3 linked regions of the Canis lupus familiaris genome follow. The protein of the gene in region 1 purifies or fractionates together with the protein of each later gene. This does not show direct contact. Links are inferred from orthologs where the notes say so. Each region holds a gene or a part of one and is shown in the gene's direction. Other genes may lie near its edges. The genes, in order: SLX4, TOPBP1 and PGAM5.

Region 1 (6,040 bases):
ATCCCCGCCAGAGGCCATCTGTGGACCCTGCGTTACAGGAGGACTTCTGACCTAGGAAGATAAAAATGTTTGTCATTAATATTTCTTTAATAACAGCTTCATAGAAAGAATTCACATTCTATAAAATGCACCTTTTTAAAGTGGACAGTTCACTGGTTTTAGTGTAGTCACAGAATTGTGTAATCACTATCACTAGCTAATTTTAGAACATTCTTATCACTCCAAAAATAAACCCTGTGCTCATTAGGAGTCACTGCTGTGCCCCTCTGTCATAGATATTTATGACAGGTCTATTTATATTACCTCCAATGGTGAAGTTACCAATAGTTGGTCCTATTCACTGTTGAGAGTTAAACCTAAACTAGTTGGTAAACAACCCCTTGAAACTTGGGTTCAACCTGTATCTGGGGGAAGAGTCCTTGTTTCTCCATCTAGAACAGATGACTGTGAATATTTTCCTCCTTGCCAGAGGCTGCTCCGGACAGCAACTCCCAGCCCCCTCCTTCCTGTCTGACAGTGACAGCGCCAAGTCCCTCCAAAGCCCGGACGGCAGAGTTGGTTGTACAGCGAATGCAGCAGTTCAAAAGGGCAGACCCTGAGCGTTTGCAGCATGCTTCAGAAAGGTGCTCCCTGGAGGCGACGCTTGAAGAAAACACCCCACGGGGCCCTCCAGAGGAGATGACAGCAGGGCATGGTATGATGGGAGTTTTATATATTCAAAGGATAAGTTTGAACCCTGGAGAAAGAGGGGCAGGAAGGAACCCGCATTCTTGAGTTGCGTGGTCGGGGTGGGTGCTCTGGCTGGCACCGTACCTTGGCCACTTCATTGTATTAGCCAGAGAATGAAGGGTCCCTTGGGTCATTTCGCATTTAGCTTCTTTGACAAAGGACCTCTTCCTCTTATTTTGACTTTTTATTATGATATTTTTCCCATACAGAAAGGTAAAAAAAAAAAATATTACAATGAACCCCCATGCCCTCAATCTGTATTTAACAATTATTAACATTTTGGCATGTATTTTTTATTTCTCCTAAGTATATCTGATTCTTCTATACCATTTCAAAGTAAGTTCTAGATGTCATGATGCTTCTCCCTCATACATCTCCTACATGATCACAGTGCTGTTGTCACACTTGATTCCATAATACTGCCTGGTGTCCAGTTCATATTAAAATCTCCCCACTTGTCCCAAAGACAGCCTTATAGATGGTTTCTTTTTTTTTCTGAACAAGGATTGGTCAGAACCATAAGTCCCACACACTGCATCTGCTATAGTTCAGTAGTCTTTTAAAGTCTAGATTCTAGAACAGTCCCCTTGTCCTGTTTTTTTTTTTTTTTTTTCCATGATACCAACTTTTGGAAGAGTCCAGGACAATTGTCTTTTTAAATTTCCCACTTTTAGATTTGTTTGATTGTTTCCTCATAGTGTCACATAACCACTTCCTGTAGCCCTGTGGTATATTACGTGTGAGTAAACCAGAGGTCTGGGGGGCCTTGGGTGAAGGCAGCAGGCACCAAGCGTGCAGGTGCCATGCAGGTGCCATGCAGTGCACCCTCCACCACCCCAGGAGGCACGTCATACCCCTGGTTCTGTTCTTTCCCCCCAGAACAATGTGAGCCCTCCTCTCTGGTGAAAATACACAGAAAAGAAATAACTAGGAAGAAACTGTATCGATGGACCTGCAGCTACAAACACATAGTCTCCTGGTAGTGGGTTTGCAGAGTTCACCCTGGGAGCACTGAGGATTCTCAGGCTACCTCTAAGGTTCACACGGGCAGAGGGGACATCCACCATTGCATCACCCCCTGTGACTCCACCGGGGTGCGTTGGAGTTGCTCAGCTAGGACACGAGCTCAGCACTTGCCCTGCGTGTGACTCGGTTGTTTGCATCAACCTTCAAAGCATTCCCAGTAATGCTCAGGGCTCGAGACAGAGAAACCATTTCTTTGTTGAGAAAAAAATAAGGCACCAAAATGAGGTGCGATGCTTTTCTGGCTTCGGTGGGAAGATAGGCCACAGGAATATTCAAGAACTGGGGACTTCGGAAGGTTTCCGCGTCTGTGAGTGCCAAGGGCCTCTCTAGCAAAAGGTCATAGCAGTAGGAAAGGCTGAGCTTTGCAGGGGAAGCCTGTGCTCCATGGAATGGGTGGAGGCTCAAGCAGGAGGGGACAGGAACGGTGCGTCCGCCAGGGCCTGGTTGTGACAGTGGCCGAGGCGCTGCCACCTCACGGGGCCTGGGAGCAGCGCGCAACGGGAGGCCTCACGGGCGGCTGCCCGGTGCTGGGTGACGGTGGCCGCGTGTCCGCCTGGTGCTGCAGGAGCGTGGGCAGCAGGGCCCAGCCCTCACTCCCCTCCCTCTCCCCCCAGGGCCGGGCTACGGGCTCCTCGTGCTGGAGAGCACCCTGCAGCAGGGCCTTGGGCCCCACGGAGCAGCCACAGCCACACCAGAGGGCAGCCTGGAGGAGGCAGGGCTGTTCTTCTGCCAGATCTGCCACAAGAACCTCTCGGCCATGAATGTGACGCGAAGGGAGCAGCACGTGAACCGGTAGGAAGACAGACTGGGCGGCCGTGACCAGAGCACCTCTGCATAGGCCTCAACCTAGCCCTGCCATTTCATTGGACAGCTTTATTGAGCTGCGATTCCCATATTATGCAGCTCATCCTTTTATTTATTTTTTAAAGATGTTATTTATTCACAAAACACAGAGAGGTCGAGACCCAGGCAGAGGGAGAAGCGGGCTCCCTGTGCGGACCTGATGCGGGACTCGATCCTGGACCCAGGGTTATGGCCTGGGCCGAAGGTGGATGCTCAGCCACTGAGCCCCCCAGGCGTCCCAGGTCATCTTTTTAAAGTTAACAATTCAATGGCTTTTATTTATTATATTCACAGAATTGTGCAACCGTTACCACAATAAGTTTTAGAATATTTTCATTACCCCCAAAAAGAGACCCTGTCCCCATTAGCGCTCACTGTTCATTCCCCCACTGCCATCCCCTCGCAGGGGCTAATATACTGTCTCCGCGGACTTGTCCGTTGGGGACGTAAGCGGAGTCACGTAAGATGTAGCCTTTTGTGTCTGGCTTCCTTCCCTCAGCGTAGTGCTTTCAAGTTCAGGTTGGAGCACGGATTGGAATCTCATTCCTTTTTACAGCTGAATAATATCTTGTCATATGGACAGACCACGTCTTGTTCATCTGTATAGATTGTCTCTGACTTTTGGATTTTGTAAATAGAGCTGCTGTGACCACGTGTTTCTCATGTTAGAGTATCTGTTCTCACTTCCTTAGGGTACACATTGCCACTGTTTGCCATGTCCTTGCTCACTTCAGCCAGCAGATACCTAAATTTAGCATTAGAAGCTGACTGCAGGCTATGTGGAGGAGTGGGCTATGGCAGGACAGGCTGGGCCCACGGCCTGTCTATGCTGACGTGGATGCACGTTACTGGGGAGAAGGTTCTCTTATGTTTACTGTCTTCCTCCAGGTGCTTGGATGAGGCTGAAAAGGCACTGACACCCTCCATACCTCGGATCCCCGAATGCCCAATTTGTGGCAAACCCTTTCTCACCCCAAAGAGCAGAATCAGCCACTTGAAACAGTGTGCAGTGAAGATGGACGTCGGCCCCCAGCTCCTGCTCCAGGCCGTGCGGCTGCAGACAGCTCAGCCTGACGGGGCCTGTAGCACACAGGCATCAAGGTGAGTCAGAGGAAAAGGAGGAAAATCAAAGAAATACTTGGATTGTTTCTTTTTAAAGCCTTTTGTATTATTAGAGAACAGTAGAGCCTGAGAACCCTCCTTGATTCTGGAAATGAGATGTGAGGAGGAAATCCGGCAGAGTCTCCACCAGGACTGAGGAGGAGACAGATTCTGTACCCTCGAAGGCCTTGAAATGGTCCACGCAGGTGTCGTCTGGAGGAGGGAGGAATCTGGTAACACACCTGATTGTGTCCATTCACATGTGGTGTGCCACAGCTTCCACCTCCGTGCAGCCCGAGTCTCCTACCATTTGGTGAAGAAGACTCAGTGAGTTCACACAGTTGGTGAGACAGAAGCACAGGCCTTTTTTTTTTTTTTAAACGTGCATGAACTAAATGCTTACGTGTTACAATAGGAGGCCTTGCTCCTAGCTGGTGCAAACCACAGGCACATAAGCAGCTCAGCTCCCCTCCCTACTGCCCGTGGTGCTGTGGATGCCGCGTTACAGGAACCAGTGTAGGCTCTGCACTTCTGTAGGTTTGGGACTTCAAGAGCAAAGGGAAGGCCAAGAGTGGTGGCCCTGTTTGTCCTGCCCACTGCCTTGCACACAGGTTGTGGGCATCTGAGCCAGGCCCATGGTGAGACTGGGGTGGACACAGGTGGGTTCTTAGCTGGTGAGCCTGTCCATATCGTAGCACATCAACACTAGCATCTCAGAATCGGAAGCCTTAAGGCCCTAGCACAGACATTACGTAAGCCGTCACTTGCCTTCTGCGAGGACTGGATGGAAACCACCTACTCAGATGAAATATATCTGCTTTTTAAATACCTCTGAGAAGGGACACCTGGGTAGCTCAGGGGTTGAGTGCCTTTAGCTCAGGGCACGATCCCAGGGTCCTGGAATCGAGTCATACATCGAGATCCCTATGAGGAGCCTGCTTCTCACTCTGCCTGTGTCTCTGCCTTTCTCTCTGTGTCTCTCATGAATAAATGGATAGAATCTTAAAAAAAAAACAACCTTTGAGAAGAGAAACAAGATGTGTGTGGGTCCTTCTAGAAGGTTGATAAAGTAGAAAAACTATAGCAAATGGATACCCTCACCAAGGCTTCGAGCCTCCTCTGCCAAAGGCCAAGCCTGGGGTATATGGAACTCTGGAGTAGTCAGATGCTGGGACAACCCCTTGCCTTCTGGGAGGAGAAGGGAACCTGTGGGGTTCCCAGGAACTGGAACAGAATTAGGAGTTGCTCAGATCTTCCAAGGTGATGCCTGAGATTCTTGAGCCACCCCTGGCCCAGGAGAAAGCATGAGCTTCTATAAAGGGTGCTTTTCGTAGCATTCTGACAGCTGGGTTGAGCTCCAAATTTCTCTCTCGCCTTTGCCCTCCTATTTCTTGCTCAGTCTGTTGGGGTTCACCAGGTGGTCTAGGTTCTCCAGCTGGAAAATCCTTTAAGACAATCTCCAAGTCAAATGAGCTGCTGCTATACACTGACCTCCAGGCTGGCTGACCATGTTGGTAGTGGAAGCTGGGAAGCCTTTCCTTCGGGCCTGGGGCAGAGGCGATGCCTACAGGCCCTGCAGGAGGAAAGGGATCCTGTCATGGCTAGTGTGGCCAGGACTGCCTGAGGGGCACCTGAAGGATTGATGAGCAGAAGTTGGTGGAATCCAGGAAGCTGACTCCACCAAAGGGTTTGGCCACACCTGGAGTGTGCAGGTACCACTCAGAGCTTGATACACCTGCCAGGAACTCAGCAGGGTAGTGTCACATGGAAGGACCAGACCTCCCCTCTCTGGGGCGCACTGAACTTGGCCCAGGATCATGTGACCTTAACATGAGGCAACAGGATGAGCACAGTGAACTCCCAGAGCCATTGATGCCTCTGTTTAATGGGTCTGTGTTTATCCCTTTTCTCTTCCCAATGCAGAGGAGATGGGGTCTGGGCCTCTCTGGTCCAGCAGGGATGTTCCTGGCACAGGAAGTGCTCACACCCTGGCCTCACTAACCTTTCTGTTTGGCTGCTTTTTAAGCTTCAGCAATCACGGAGGTTTGAAGCGGAAGGGAGCCACCAATAGGAAGGAGCTGCAGAAGAAGCGGAAGGTCAACGAGCCCGAGGTGCCATCTGAAGACTTGCTGGTGGCCATGGCTCTGTCCCGGTCCGAGATGGAGCAGGAGGCCGTGCCCCCCGTGCTGAGACTGGAAAGCGCTTTCTCCGAGAGGATAAGACTGGGGGCAGGTAGGTGCGGCGCCAGGCTGGCACAGCCTCACCACTCCTGCTGGGCCTCAGGGTGTGGGGCAGCTCTGTCACTGACCCTGTGCTTCCGTTCACCCCAGAAAAGAAGAGT
Region 2 (6,821 bases), on another chromosome or scaffold:
CTTTCACCCTTCCCTCAGAGATGCTGTTTGGGCAAACTTTTGTGTGTATCAGAATCAGCTGGAGGGCTTACTAAAATGGAATGCCAGGACCCACACGCAGAGTTCCTGACTAAGCAAGTCTGAGATTAGGCCCGAGAATTTTCATTTCCAACAAATTCCTAGTTCATGCTGATGCAGCTGGTGCAGGCACTACACTAGATTGAGAAACACTGCTCTGTTTTCCAAGACTAGGTACTTAGGGGACAGATACAGACCTTCCTTGCCTACCTGGAGACACAGATGGGAGAACTTGTCACCTGGTCTATTCTAAGGACAAGACCAACTCCTCTGTTATTAAAATCAGCTGGCTAAGAGCTAAAGGGGTGAGTTCATTTTCCTCCTCCTCTTCATTAGAGCATCTATGACTCTCCTCTCATGAAGCCTCCACTTGGCCCAGAAGTGTTAGGGATGGGCTCCTGCCTCCTGGTACAGAGAAGGCAGGCAGCATGTGACAAGGATAGGGTGGTGTGGGAAGGGCAAGGGGCTTCCAGTCACACTACCTCTTATCAAGCCTGGGTGCAGCCACTCCCCAGCTGTGTGGCTCTGGGACTCACTTTCCCCATCTACACAACACGGGATGATGATGCCCACATCCTAGAAGATTGCTGAGGAGAGTAGACAGGAATAGTGCAAGCAGGGGTCCTTTGTTGACTGTAAAGTACCCCACAAACAGTAATTATTGCCACAGCTTGTGACAGATTTGCTCCTTAACAATAACCTGTAGCAGTGGTGGCTCATTCTCCTGGTTTTTATTTTTTTATTTTTTACAACTCTAGTAACTTTGGTTTATTTTTAAGACTCTCCTCACCCTCTCCCCAACAATGACCTGTACCTCTGAGCCCCAGTGTTACTGATTCTGACTCACCTTGCACAGGTGTATTTACACACGTAGACTCATCCTTGGGCACTAAAAGGAAAAACAGTTGGGGTTAAACTGTCATATTGCTCAACCCAAAGTCATGAGCTGCTTCTTTTTTTAAGATTTTTTTTTTTATTTATTTATTTATTTATTTATTTATTTATTTATTTATTTATTTATTTATTTATGAGAGAGACAGAGAGAGATTGAGAGGCAGACACACAGGCAGAGGGAGAAGCAGGCTCCATGCAGGGAGCCCAATGTGGGACTAGATCCCAGAACTCTGGGATCACGCCCTGGGCTGATCAACCTCTGAGCCCCCCGGGCTGCCCCTTAGCTAGTGTTTTTTATTTTATTCCTCACTCTTGAGATTAAGAAGCTCATGACTGGGGGATCCCTGGGTGGCTCAGCGGTTGAGCGCCTGCCTTAGGCCCAGGGAGGGATCCCGGGATCGAGTCCCACCCAGGTCGGGCTCCCTGCATGGAGCCTGCCTCTCTCCCTGTGTCTCATGAATAAACAAAAAAAAAAAAAAAAAAAAGGAAAAAGAAAAGAAACACTAGCTAAGCAATTTGTCACGGGTCAACAAGCCAGGATTCCGCAGGTCCATTAAACCCTTCTCATCCCTGTCCTTTGCCATTTGAACATCAGGCTCCACCCCCAGAATCTCCCCAACCCTCAGGGAGTTAAAGGAAATGAGACAGCCTTGGAAGAGGAGCAGAGACCACTGAAGATCTTGACCCAGACCCTCTTCCTCGGCTAAGTGACTCAAGTCATCCTGACATCTTTCTTTCCTTGCGGAGGCCATATTCCTCCGGAAGGCTCACATTCCTCCGACATTGGAGGAAAAAGGACCCTTCTATGGAGTCAAAGAGCCTTGGACGCAGTTTTAAGGCTACCATTTACCACGTGACCTTACATCGCTTAACTTACCGAAGACTCTGTTTTCACATCTGTAAAACGCAAATAGATGCGACACTATGTGCCTCAGAAAATTGTTTAGGGCGATAATACACGTTTTCTCACACACTGCCCTGCATATGGTAGTATTTTACTGATCGGGGAAACCTGATTTTCCCCGGGGCTTATTTCGCCAGGTCGTCCCGGCCTGCTACCCCACGCCCCGAGCTGTGCACGCCCGGCCAACTCCCGACGGAGCCAGGGCCCGCCTTCCAAGCCCTACGCCCCGGCACCCCCCCAGCCGACAGGCAGCAGCGCCACTCCCGCCGCCGTCGCCGCCACCCTGCCGCGGCGGCGGCTGGCGTCACTTCCGCCGGAAGAGGCGGGCGCGTCCGCGCGGTTGGCGCGAAAGTCGGTTCGCCGCCTCGGCAATTTCCGGGTTCTGCGTCGGCTTCGGGTCGGGGGCGCCGCGGGCTGCGGCGGGTGTGCGCCGGGCTGGCGCCCGACCCCAGCCGCCGTCTGGCAGGCCGCGCGCCCCTCCGCTCCCCGCCCGAAGGCCCGCAGGCTCCCCCGAGGTGAGTGAGGCACGGGGGGCGGACCTGGCTCCCTCCCCACCGCGGTTGGGGGGTCGCGGCACCTCCGCCGGCCTACGGGGCCCTCGGACCGGCGGGCGGGACCTTGACGCCGTAGAGGATGGGGCCGCGGTTGGACCGAGAGCCGGGCCCATCTGTGGCAAGAGGCAGGCAGGAGCGCTCGGCCTTCTGGGGCATGACCTCGCTAACCGGCTTCCTTGTTTATATTCAAGTCCGTTTACTGAGTGAACAAGCGTGGACAGTCTGGTTCTGTGTATCCTTAAGTGCAGTTGAATTGCTCCTTGGCTTAGGGGTCGTAGAGCCCCAGAGGCCCTGAACGTATTCAATTTAAAGACTTTCATTTCATTCTCTGACGTGCAAGGATTGATGTTGTCCTCTTTTTCCTTGACTTTGCCCACATTCCAGCGTTTCTTAGAAACTAATGAACGAGTTCATGGGCAAGGCCAGAACGTCTCTATCCTTGGGCATTGCTGTTCTGCACAGAAAAAATAGGTGCTTTTAACATGTAACTTCATACGTGATGTGTTTTTGTCCTTCTTAATGGTTCCTCTATTTTGACAGTTCAAAAATGTCCAGAAATGACAAAGAACCGTTTCTTGTGAAGTTTTTAAAGTCTTCAGACAATTCCGAATGTTTTTTTAAAGCTCTGGAGGTAAGAATAGTTTGAAAATGGCCGTGAATTCATTTCCTCCGTTTTAGTGTTTTTGATTTGTTGGGCTTTTTATGTCTTAGTAATGTTTTATTTTCACTCTAGTTTTACTGTAGTGTACATCAACACGGATGTGTCATTACATAGTTTTGGATTGGGGTAATAAATAGTTCATTATTATATATTTTGGGGGGCATGAAATCTATCGCTTTTTTTTTTTTTAAGATTTTTATTTATTTATTTGACAGCACAAAGCAGAGAAAGAAGCAGACTCCCCATGGAGCAGGCAGCCCGATGCGGGGCTGGATCCCAGGACCGTGGGATCATGACCTGAGCTGAAGGCAGACACTTAACCAACTGAGCCAGGGCACCCTATTATGACATTTTTATTTAAAGTAGCAGAGCTGCTATTCTTGAAAATTACATTGCTTTCTTTGTCTACTAGCCAGAGTAGACCTTTGTATGTTGAAGAAATTTGAGTCTGTTTTGTACTGGTTACACTTCATTTTTTGGTAATTAGAAGTAGGTTTCACCATGTACACTGTAATATGGGAAGGTGTGGGGGGGTGTTGTAGAGCCTTGCTACTTAGAGACCCCGGCCACATCAGTAGAGTTGGAAATGGAGAACGTTGGGCCCAACTCAGACTGACCAATTAGAATCTGCATTTTAAAAAGATCCTCAGGGCAGCCCAGAGCCGCCTGTAGCCCAGGGTGTGATCCTGGACACCCCAGATCGAGTCCTGCGTCAGGCTCCCTGCATGGAGCCTGCTTCTCCCTCTGCCTGTGTCTCTGCCTCTCTCTCTCTCTCTCTCTCAATCTGTGTCTCTTATGAATAAATAAATAAAATCTTTAAAAAATAAAAAGATCCTCAGTGTGATTCCAAAGTTTAAGAAGCACTATTGTAGCAGATTTTTTTTAATATATATTTTTTAAGATTTTATTTATTTATTCATGAGAGACAGAGAGAGAGGCAGAGACACAGGCAGAGGGAGAAGCAGGCTCCATGCAGGGAACCCGACGTGGGACTCGATCCTGGATCTCCAGGATCACGCCCTGGGCTGAAGGCAGCGCTAAACAGCTGAGCCACCAAGGCTGCCGTGTAGCAGATTTCTCTTAAAGTTCATTCAGCAAATAATTATTCAGTGTCATGACGTGTTAAGCACTATTGTAGTACTTGGGATACACAAGTGATTACAGCAAGCAAAGATCCATACTTTCTCAGAACTTACATTCTATTTTAGCAATAAGAACTAGACATGAATCAGTAAATGAGTAAACTGTACGGTATGTTAATAAGGTGCTATGTGTTACGGAAAGAGAAAAGAACAAAACAGATTAAGGAGTTCTAGAGAATGTTGAGAGGAGAAGGGAAGGTTACAATCTTTAGAGTGTGATTGGTGAAGGCTTTATAGAGAAGATAATTGAGTACACTTGAAGGAGGTGAGATGGTTGGCCATGTGGATGTCTGGGAAGAAGCTTTCAGGCAGAGAGAACAGCCATATACAGGCCCCTGAGAAAGTACTTGGAAGTGCCTATCCAACAGTAGTATGGCTGTAGTATAGTGAACGGGGGATGGGGGAAGAATATTAAAAAGTACCTTAGAGAGTAAGGGTACAGAGGTCATGTAATGGGCCTTAAGGACTATTGTAAGGACTTTGACTTTCTCTTTTTCATTTGAACAGATCTGAAGTGAGGGAGCAAGTCAGATGAAGACTGGGAGGGTATTCCAGGTAGCAGGAACAATAGCAGAGCCTCTAATTAGGTCATGCTTGGCTTGTTTCAGGCCTAGCAAGAAAGTAGGAGTGGCTAGAGAAGAGTAGGAGAGGTGAGAGGTAGAGGGTTAAGAGTGAGGAGATAGACAGGGGACAGACTCATGACCTGATTTGTATTGTTAGAGATCGATCACTAGTTGCTGTACGGAGAAGAGATTTAGGGCCAAGAAAGGAGAAGGAACCACTTTGTAGACTTCTGCAGAGGTCTAAGTGAGAGATGATAGTAGCTTTCAATGGGGGAAAAGATTGGATGGATTTTGAAGGTAGAACTCATAGGACTTAAATACAGGTGAAAAATTTTATGTGCATTCTTTCTTTTTTTTTTCTTTCAGTCAATAAAAGAATTTCAATCAGAAGAATATCTTCAGATTATTACAGAAGAAGAGGCATTGAAGATACAGGAAAATGATAGGTCACTTTATATCTGTGACCCTTTTAGTGGCGTTGTCTTTGATCACCTCAAAAAGGTTTGCTAACTTTTCATGTGTTCCTTCCATAGTCTGATTTTTGTTTTTGCTTCAGTGGACATAAGTTCTTTACTGACCGTGAGATATTATACAGATTATGAATATAGAGGAATCCTTTGGTTTTAGGAAACCAGACTAGTATTTTTAAAGGCTAATCATGTTACAACAAGCTTTTGTTGTATGTAATTTTTATATTACAGGAGATTTAACTTCTCTTAGCTTAAGTGAACTGTATAGTAATGAAACATTTTAATGACAGAGTTCTACTGTACTTAAACTCAGATTTTCAGTAAAGAGTAGGAAAAGATCTCAACATAACGCTTGGTTACTTACTGTCTTTCCTATGTGCACTTGCACGCAGAATTTTAGTACCTGTACCTTGTAGAGGGTCTGAAACATTATATGCCTAAAGGAAACATTTTGGGGATGAGTATTGCTAATATACCAATGAGCCATCTTATCTCTCTTTGTTGATTCCAGAGTCTACTGACTCATTACTTTTTTGGTGTCTGGACAAGCGAGAAGCATTGAAATAAAAGTAAACTGGCTGTAATTCCATCCAGATTACAAAGAAGTGATTCTTGTTTGAAGGAGAAGAAAACATAGAAGAGTAGGTAGATGCAGTATCTGCACAATTTATGGAAGGTCTGTGCCCACCTTTGCCAAAAGCATTGTTGGTCTTACCCTCCTTTTGGAAATAACACTCCTTGTCAGATAGAGTCAATAGCATTAAAAACTCAAATTTTCTTGGCTGAACAAAAAGATAGCAGTAGTCATTTACCATGTAGATCTTTTAAATCAGTCATGACTTAATGACTTTGGCATCCGTATCCTTTTTAGATCTGGCTTGAATATGCTGATGTTGAGCAAGACTCAACTTTTCTAAACTCAAGTTATCAATGAAAATGAAAGGCCATATTTTTAATAACCTGTAATATCTTTGAGAAATACTTACTTGGAAAGACATTGAGTTGAAGACAAAGTATTTAAAACACAAATGTAGACACTGCCTGGGATTTTTTTATGTGTGACAGAATAGGTATTTTAGAAGGGGTTAATTAGGCTCTTAAACTTTTAAACTGCTTGATTGGATACTTCATTTAAAAAGTATATATGGATGTTTCCTATAATTATTATAGCATAAGATTGTTAGTCCTGTACCCTCTCACTTAGACTATGTTTGTTTCAGATACTAAAATTTGTTGGCTGTTGTGACTAAATGTGGCTCTTGGGGCATATATCTTTTGATAGACTGCATTGTTTGATTTGCATGTGTGTTTATTTAATGTGTCTCTGAGAAATTATAATGGTCTTTATTTTTTTTATAATAATTTAGTGATTTTTCTGCAGTGGTTCAACTGTATAGAATCGGTAAATATTACAAAATGTAATTTTATAAGCAGGAGGTCTTTTCCAACATACTGAACTTTCTCCCCTTTTTTGTAGCTTGGCTGCAGAATTGTTGGCCCTCAAGTAGTCATATTTTGTATGCACCACCAACGATGTGTCCCAAGAGCTGAACATCCAGTCTATAATATGGTTATG
Region 3 (5,287 bases), on another chromosome or scaffold:
TTTTCATAATAATAGGAATGTTCTCTTCCTCGCTATCCAATGTGATCACCACTATCCTATGGGTTACTGACCATTTCAAATGTTCTTAGTGTGACTGGGGAAATGGAGTAATATCTTTATTATTTTGAATTTAAGTAGCCACACAGCCAGTATCTAGCATTGGACAGCACAGTTGCAGGCTCTGCTTCAACATGGCCACACTAGCTTTGTGGGCACTCCCCAGCTACCCCTTCCTGGTACCTGGTTTCGTTTTCTACACATCTCTTATCACTTGGCTGTTTTTATCAGTCTCTTTTCACTAGAACACAAGCTGCATGAGAGCTTCATTTGTCCACTTCATTCACTGATCACCCCAAACAGGCCTGGCACTCCGCTCTGGGTAAATGCGATGTGCTCTAAGAGGATGGGCTCTTAGGGGCCACAGCAGAGGGCAGAGGGTATTGTTTGTCCCTGCGCTTTCCCAAGACGGAAATACCGTCTAGTCAAAAAAACTCAATTCTGATTTGTGAGCAGAGATCACAAGGACACGCCTCTCATATTTCAACATTAGGCGAGAACCACTATCCTTGGTCAACCTGCGGAAGAGGAACCTAGACTCTGGAGAAGAAGAACTGGCGTCCAGGCTGGACCACTGCAAAGCAAAGGCCACACGACACATCTTCCTCATCAGGCACTCCCAGTACCACATGGATGCCTCCCTGGAAAAGGACCGCACTCTAACACCCCTGGGTATGTGCTGGGACTCAAGCCCCAACTGACACTTGTCCTAGTGACGCTGGGCCCCTTTGGACCTGTGTCAGGGGCTTGGCCCAGATTCAAGAATTGTCATTAACAGTGATCAGCAACCTAACTGATACAAGACAGGCATTGAAAACATCCTCAACTTTAGGGGCGCCTGGGTGGCTCAGCAGTTGAGCAGCACCTTTGGCCCAAGGCATGACCATGTGTCCGGGGATCGAGTCCCGCATCAGGCTCCCTGTGGGGAGCCTGCTTCTCCCTCTGCCTGTGTCTCTGCTTCTCTGTGTCTCTCATGAATAAATAAATAAAATCCTTGAAAAAAAAAATTCCTCAACTTTAAAAAATGTATGGTGGATCTCACAGGTGATCAGACCCAAAGCACAGCAGAGGTGTTCTATACTCCCTGATGCTCTGTAAGTGGCATAGCCCATGCACCCTGTTCTGCTTGACTTAACCTGTTGCTGAAGATCCTTCTATTCAGCACTTGCAGATCTGTTTAAAGTTTGCTTCATAATGGTAAACAGACAGGATTGAGTGATAGCTCTAACCATCTCCCTGGCAGGAGTGCTACTTATTGCAGTTTCTTGCCATCGTGAGCAGCACTGCGGGGCATGCCCTTCCACCGTGGTCTTTGTGCCCATGTGCAAGCATATCTGTAGAAGAAATTCCTAGGAGAGGAAGTACAGGGTGGTCTGAGATAAGGTTTACATTTTTAAAGATGTCTTTGTTGGATAGGATATTAGCCATCTGTGCACATTCAGTGCTACATGCACTTGAAACTGACCTTCTGAGAGCATTTTCATCTAGATTCTAAAATATATATATATATATATATATATATTTTTTTTTTTTAATTTTATTTGAGAGATTGAGCAAGACAGAGCACAAGCGGGAGGAGGGGAAGAGGGAGAGGGAGAAGCAGACTCCCTGCTACGCAGGGAGCTTGACTTGGGACTCAATCTCAGGACTCCAAAATCATGAGTCCAAGGGAGACACTTATCCCACTGAACCACCCAGGCATCCCTAAAATATATATTTGAGAAAAAAGATTTGTATTTGTACACAGACTGTACTTAGTGAATGCTGAGGCCATTTGGTCTTTACGTGTTGACATCTGTGATAATGCACAACTGGTCGATCCATGGCACGTTGCAACTCCATGTTTGGACAAAATTAAAAGTGGCATAAAGGACACAAAGATAGGAACAGGATCCCAGATCTCAGGGATCCTCAACCTTGGTCATTAACATTCCTTCTGTATGGAGCTAAAGGTAACTGCATTATCTCATTGTTTCCACCTGTCAAATGCTTGGCCCCTAGTTAGGGCCAAACCCCAGGAGGGTCTGCCCGTCTTGTTCCCCAGCCGTAAGGGCACTTGGTAAAGGACTGGAGTATTTCTGAAGTAAACAAAAGAGGAACTCCAGCAACCTATAATTCTCTGGTGTTTTTCACCTTCAAGGTCGTGAACAGGCTGAACTAACTGGGCTCCGACTTGCAAGCTTGGGGTTGAAGTTTAATAAAATTGTCCATTCGTCTATGACCCGAGCCATAGAAACCAGTGACATCATCAGCAAGCACCTGCCAGGTGAGTGCCCCGCATCTCCAGGGCACACTGGGTGGCTAGTCCTGAAGGGGCAGCACCTAGCTGCGGCTTCTCTTACAGGTGTCTGCAAGGTCAGCACAGACCTGCTGAGGGAAGGCGCCCCCATTGAGCCCGACCCGCCTGTGTCCCACTGGAAGCCAGAGGCTGTGGTAAAAGCCCCACTCCCCCCGAGCCCCCCCGACCTGCAGCCTGCATGCCCTGCGGCCTGCATGCCGTGGCCATCCTTAAGATTCCTTGCTCTGCCCCCAGCAGTATTATGAAGATGGAGCCCGGATTGAGGCCGCCTTCCGGAACTACATCCATCGGGCAGATGTCAAGCAGCAGGAAGACAGTTACGAGATCTTCATCTGCCATGCCAATGTCATCCGCTACATCGTGTGCCGGTGAGGGGTGACATAGGTTCCCTGGCCCACCATCCTTCCTGCCAGCCTGTGCCAGTGCCTCTTCCCTGGAGACCTTAGCCTTCTGGGAGAATGTCAGTTTGGAGTTTTTCCATGATCGTGTATTTATGGCGGGAATAGCACAAATGTGATCCACTTGTCCAGGGTAGGTCGGGGTGCCCGAGAAGTCAGTGGCACATTCTGGGTGATGCTAACACGGTCACTTGGTTCAGGCACTGTGCGCTGGACTTCACACCGTACAGTCGGTTTTTCCCCCTCAGTGATTTGTAAGCGTCTTGGGAGACAGTGCAAATCTTCTGTCCCTCTGATTTATACCGACTGACTTTAGCCCATTGGGAGTTCCTGCCACAACAGATACAGTGGTGGTGCTCACCTAATGGTGGTTTTGCATTTCTGTCTGTCATTTGTTATTTGAAATCCTTCTGTAAGACCTCACTCTTACTCTGTTTATTTGTAGGATTATAGACTCATAGATCTGTATTTAGCACTGTGGATTAGAACCCATCACCATGTTCGTCCCTTCACTGCTCTGGCTGCCCCAGCACTGGCTGCCCCAGCATTGGCTGTTGGGCCCCCAGGAGGCTTCTGTGTCCTCTGGACCTGCCTCACTTCCTGGCACTAACGGAGGTTCCAGAGCCCTCATGAGTGATGCCTGCCCTGAGTAGCAGCCATGTACCAAAGGCCCTTGGAGGTAGTTAGGCCAGCTGGGTGCTTATGTATTTAACCAAAGTTCACTTAGTGAAAAATTTGAAGTAACTGGAATCCCAGACACCCCCTGGACCCATTAGAAAGTGTGCATTGGGCATTTTAACAGCTGAGGGATCTCCTCTTGTGATGAGTCTGACAGGGCAGGACAGGACACAGCCCACCGGCTGGCCCACAGGACTATCCAAATGTAGGCCCAGGGTCCTTGCTCACCATGCTTGATCCTTGGACCTTTCACCAGGGCTGGCAGGAACGGGGTCATTTCCCCTCCAATGTCCCATGCACGGCCTCTGGTGAGAAGCCCAGGGCATCCGAGGCAGGGGGCACACTGATGCCAGGAGTCAGGCTTCTCAGCTTGGTCACAGGGCTCCAGGCCAGGTGGAGTGTTGCTGGGGAAGAGGGGTGAGCCTCAGACAGGCCTCCACACACTCTGAAGTGCTCAGCACTTCATGTCCTCCAGAGGGCATAGTCTCAGAGCTCCTGTGCTCAGCACATGCTGTTCCCCGGCACCACCCTCATTGCTGCTCTGGATGTCTCTGCACCGTGGAAACGCCATAATCTAACACCCTGTGACAGGCTGACCCCAGCAGCCACTAGAAGTGACCCCAATGCTGAAAACTAATCAGAATTGGGGACTTGGAGTAGAGGTGACCTGTGTGCCATAAAGGGCTAGAAGGAACCAGAGCATCCCTGTCACAATACATGAGGTTATTTTGGAGTTTGTGAGGGACACAAGGAGAAGACTTTAAAAAGCACCATGGTGGCTGCAGAGTGAGCCAAGGGGATGCCCCTTACCATTTAGGGCACAAAGGATGTCTGATGACTTGGGGAAGCCATGATGATACTGGGCTTTTCAGCAAATACTGCACCTAAAAAGTGTTCCTGAGGACAAGGAAAGGCTCTGGGCTTGTGGATTATACCACCCTGTTCCTGGGCAAGAGTGGAATAGGAATGGGTCCATTGCACAGTCCGGCTGCCCCTGCCCCCTTTTGGTTACACTGGAAAAAGAAGTCAATGGAAGCCATGTATTTCTGACTCACATGCACATCTGGAGTTGGGTTAATCCCCTGACCCAAAGAGGGGCTGGGCTGTCCCCATCCCCCTTGATTTGATGGGAGATCATCAGCCCAGTAGCTCTGTCCTCTGAGAGACCCCTTGCTGAAAAACAGGAGGGACAGACTTGGCTATATGGGTCCCAGCCCCAAGAAAATCTCTGAGGGGGATCCCTGGGTGGCGCAGCGGTTTAGCGCCTGCCTTTGGCCCAGGGCGCGATCCTGGAGACCCGGGATCGAGTCCCACGTCGGGCTCCTGGTGCATGGAGCCTGCTTCTCCCTCTGCCTATGTCTCTGCCTCTCTCTCTCTCTCTCTCTCTCTCTCTCTGCAACTATCATAAATAAATAAAAGTTAAAAAAATATTAAAAAAAAAAAAAGAAAAAGAAAATCTCTGAGACCCTAACTGGGGTGGGGGCTATTGCATTGCCCAGACCCCAGCCTGTTTTGGTGGCTGAGCCCTCTGTTCTAGCATGTTCTTTCTCTTTCCAGGGCACTGCAGTTCCCTCCTGAAGGCTGGCTCCGCCTGTCTCTCAACAATGGCAGCATAACCCACCTGGTGGTACGGCCAGATGGCCGAGTGGCGCTCAGGACCCTCGGGGACACAGGGTTCATGCCTCCAGACAAGATATCGCGCTCCTGAGAGCTGCTTGGAGGACCTGCTCTCCTCTAGCCCCTGTGGCTCCCATGGGTGTCACCCAGGACATGGTTCCTTCCCCATCTTCCCTCCACAGGCTGCATTGTGGTTACATTGCACTCTTCCTGGAGAGTGAGAAAGTACAAATATCTC

Evidence for each region.
Region 2: the proteins of SLX4 (region 1) and TOPBP1 purify together in Homo sapiens (affinity purification with mass spectrometry; 3 studies listed by BioGRID, with this or other methods). This does not show direct contact. The link is inferred for Canis lupus familiaris from reciprocal best matches to the Homo sapiens genes SLX4 and TOPBP1.
Region 3: the proteins of SLX4 (region 1) and PGAM5 purify together in Homo sapiens (affinity purification with mass spectrometry; 4 studies listed by BioGRID and IntAct, with this or other methods). This does not show direct contact. The link is inferred for Canis lupus familiaris from reciprocal best matches to the Homo sapiens genes SLX4 and PGAM5.

Annotation. Positions count from the first base shown.
Region 1 is NC_049227.1:37,951,417-37,957,456, forward strand, and holds part of SLX4 (structure-specific endonuclease subunit SLX4), read left to right. Parts: exon of another isoform or gene 1-51; intron 52-469; coding exon 470-694; intron 695-2,369; coding exon 2,370-2,547; intron 2,548-3,486; coding exon 3,487-3,699; intron 3,700-5,725; coding exon 5,726-5,931; intron 5,932-6,029; coding exon 6,030-6,040. UniProt on the Homo sapiens protein: Regulatory subunit that interacts with and increases the activity of different structure-specific endonucleases.
Region 2 is NC_049244.1:31,093,540-31,100,360, reverse strand, and holds the start of TOPBP1 (DNA topoisomerase 2-binding protein 1), read left to right. Parts: upstream 1-2,259; 5' UTR 2,260-2,370; intron 2,371-2,512; exon of another isoform or gene 2,513-2,641; intron 2,642-2,793; exon of another isoform or gene 2,794-2,949; 5' UTR 2,950-2,956; coding exon 2,957-3,040; intron 3,041-5,139; exon of another isoform or gene 5,140-5,141; coding exon 5,142-5,276; intron 5,277-5,756; exon of another isoform or gene 5,757-5,894; coding exon of another isoform or gene 5,895-5,921; intron 5,922-6,722; coding exon 6,723-6,821. UniProt on the Homo sapiens protein: Scaffold protein that acts as a key protein-protein adapter in DNA replication and DNA repair. Composed of multiple BRCT domains, which specifically recognize and bind phosphorylated proteins, bringing proteins together into functional combinations.
Region 3 is NC_049247.1:424,812-430,098, reverse strand, and holds part of PGAM5 (serine/threonine-protein phosphatase PGAM5, mitochondrial), read left to right. Parts: intron 1-513; coding exon 514-729; intron 730-2,197; coding exon 2,198-2,323; intron 2,324-2,401; coding exon 2,402-2,490; intron 2,491-2,570; coding exon of another isoform or gene 2,571-2,590; coding exon 2,591-2,724; intron 2,725-4,989; coding exon 4,990-5,140; 3' UTR 5,141-5,287. UniProt on the Homo sapiens protein: Mitochondrial serine/threonine phosphatase that dephosphorylates various substrates and thus plays a role in different biological processes including cellular senescence or mitophagy. Modulates cellular senescence by regulating mitochondrial dynamics.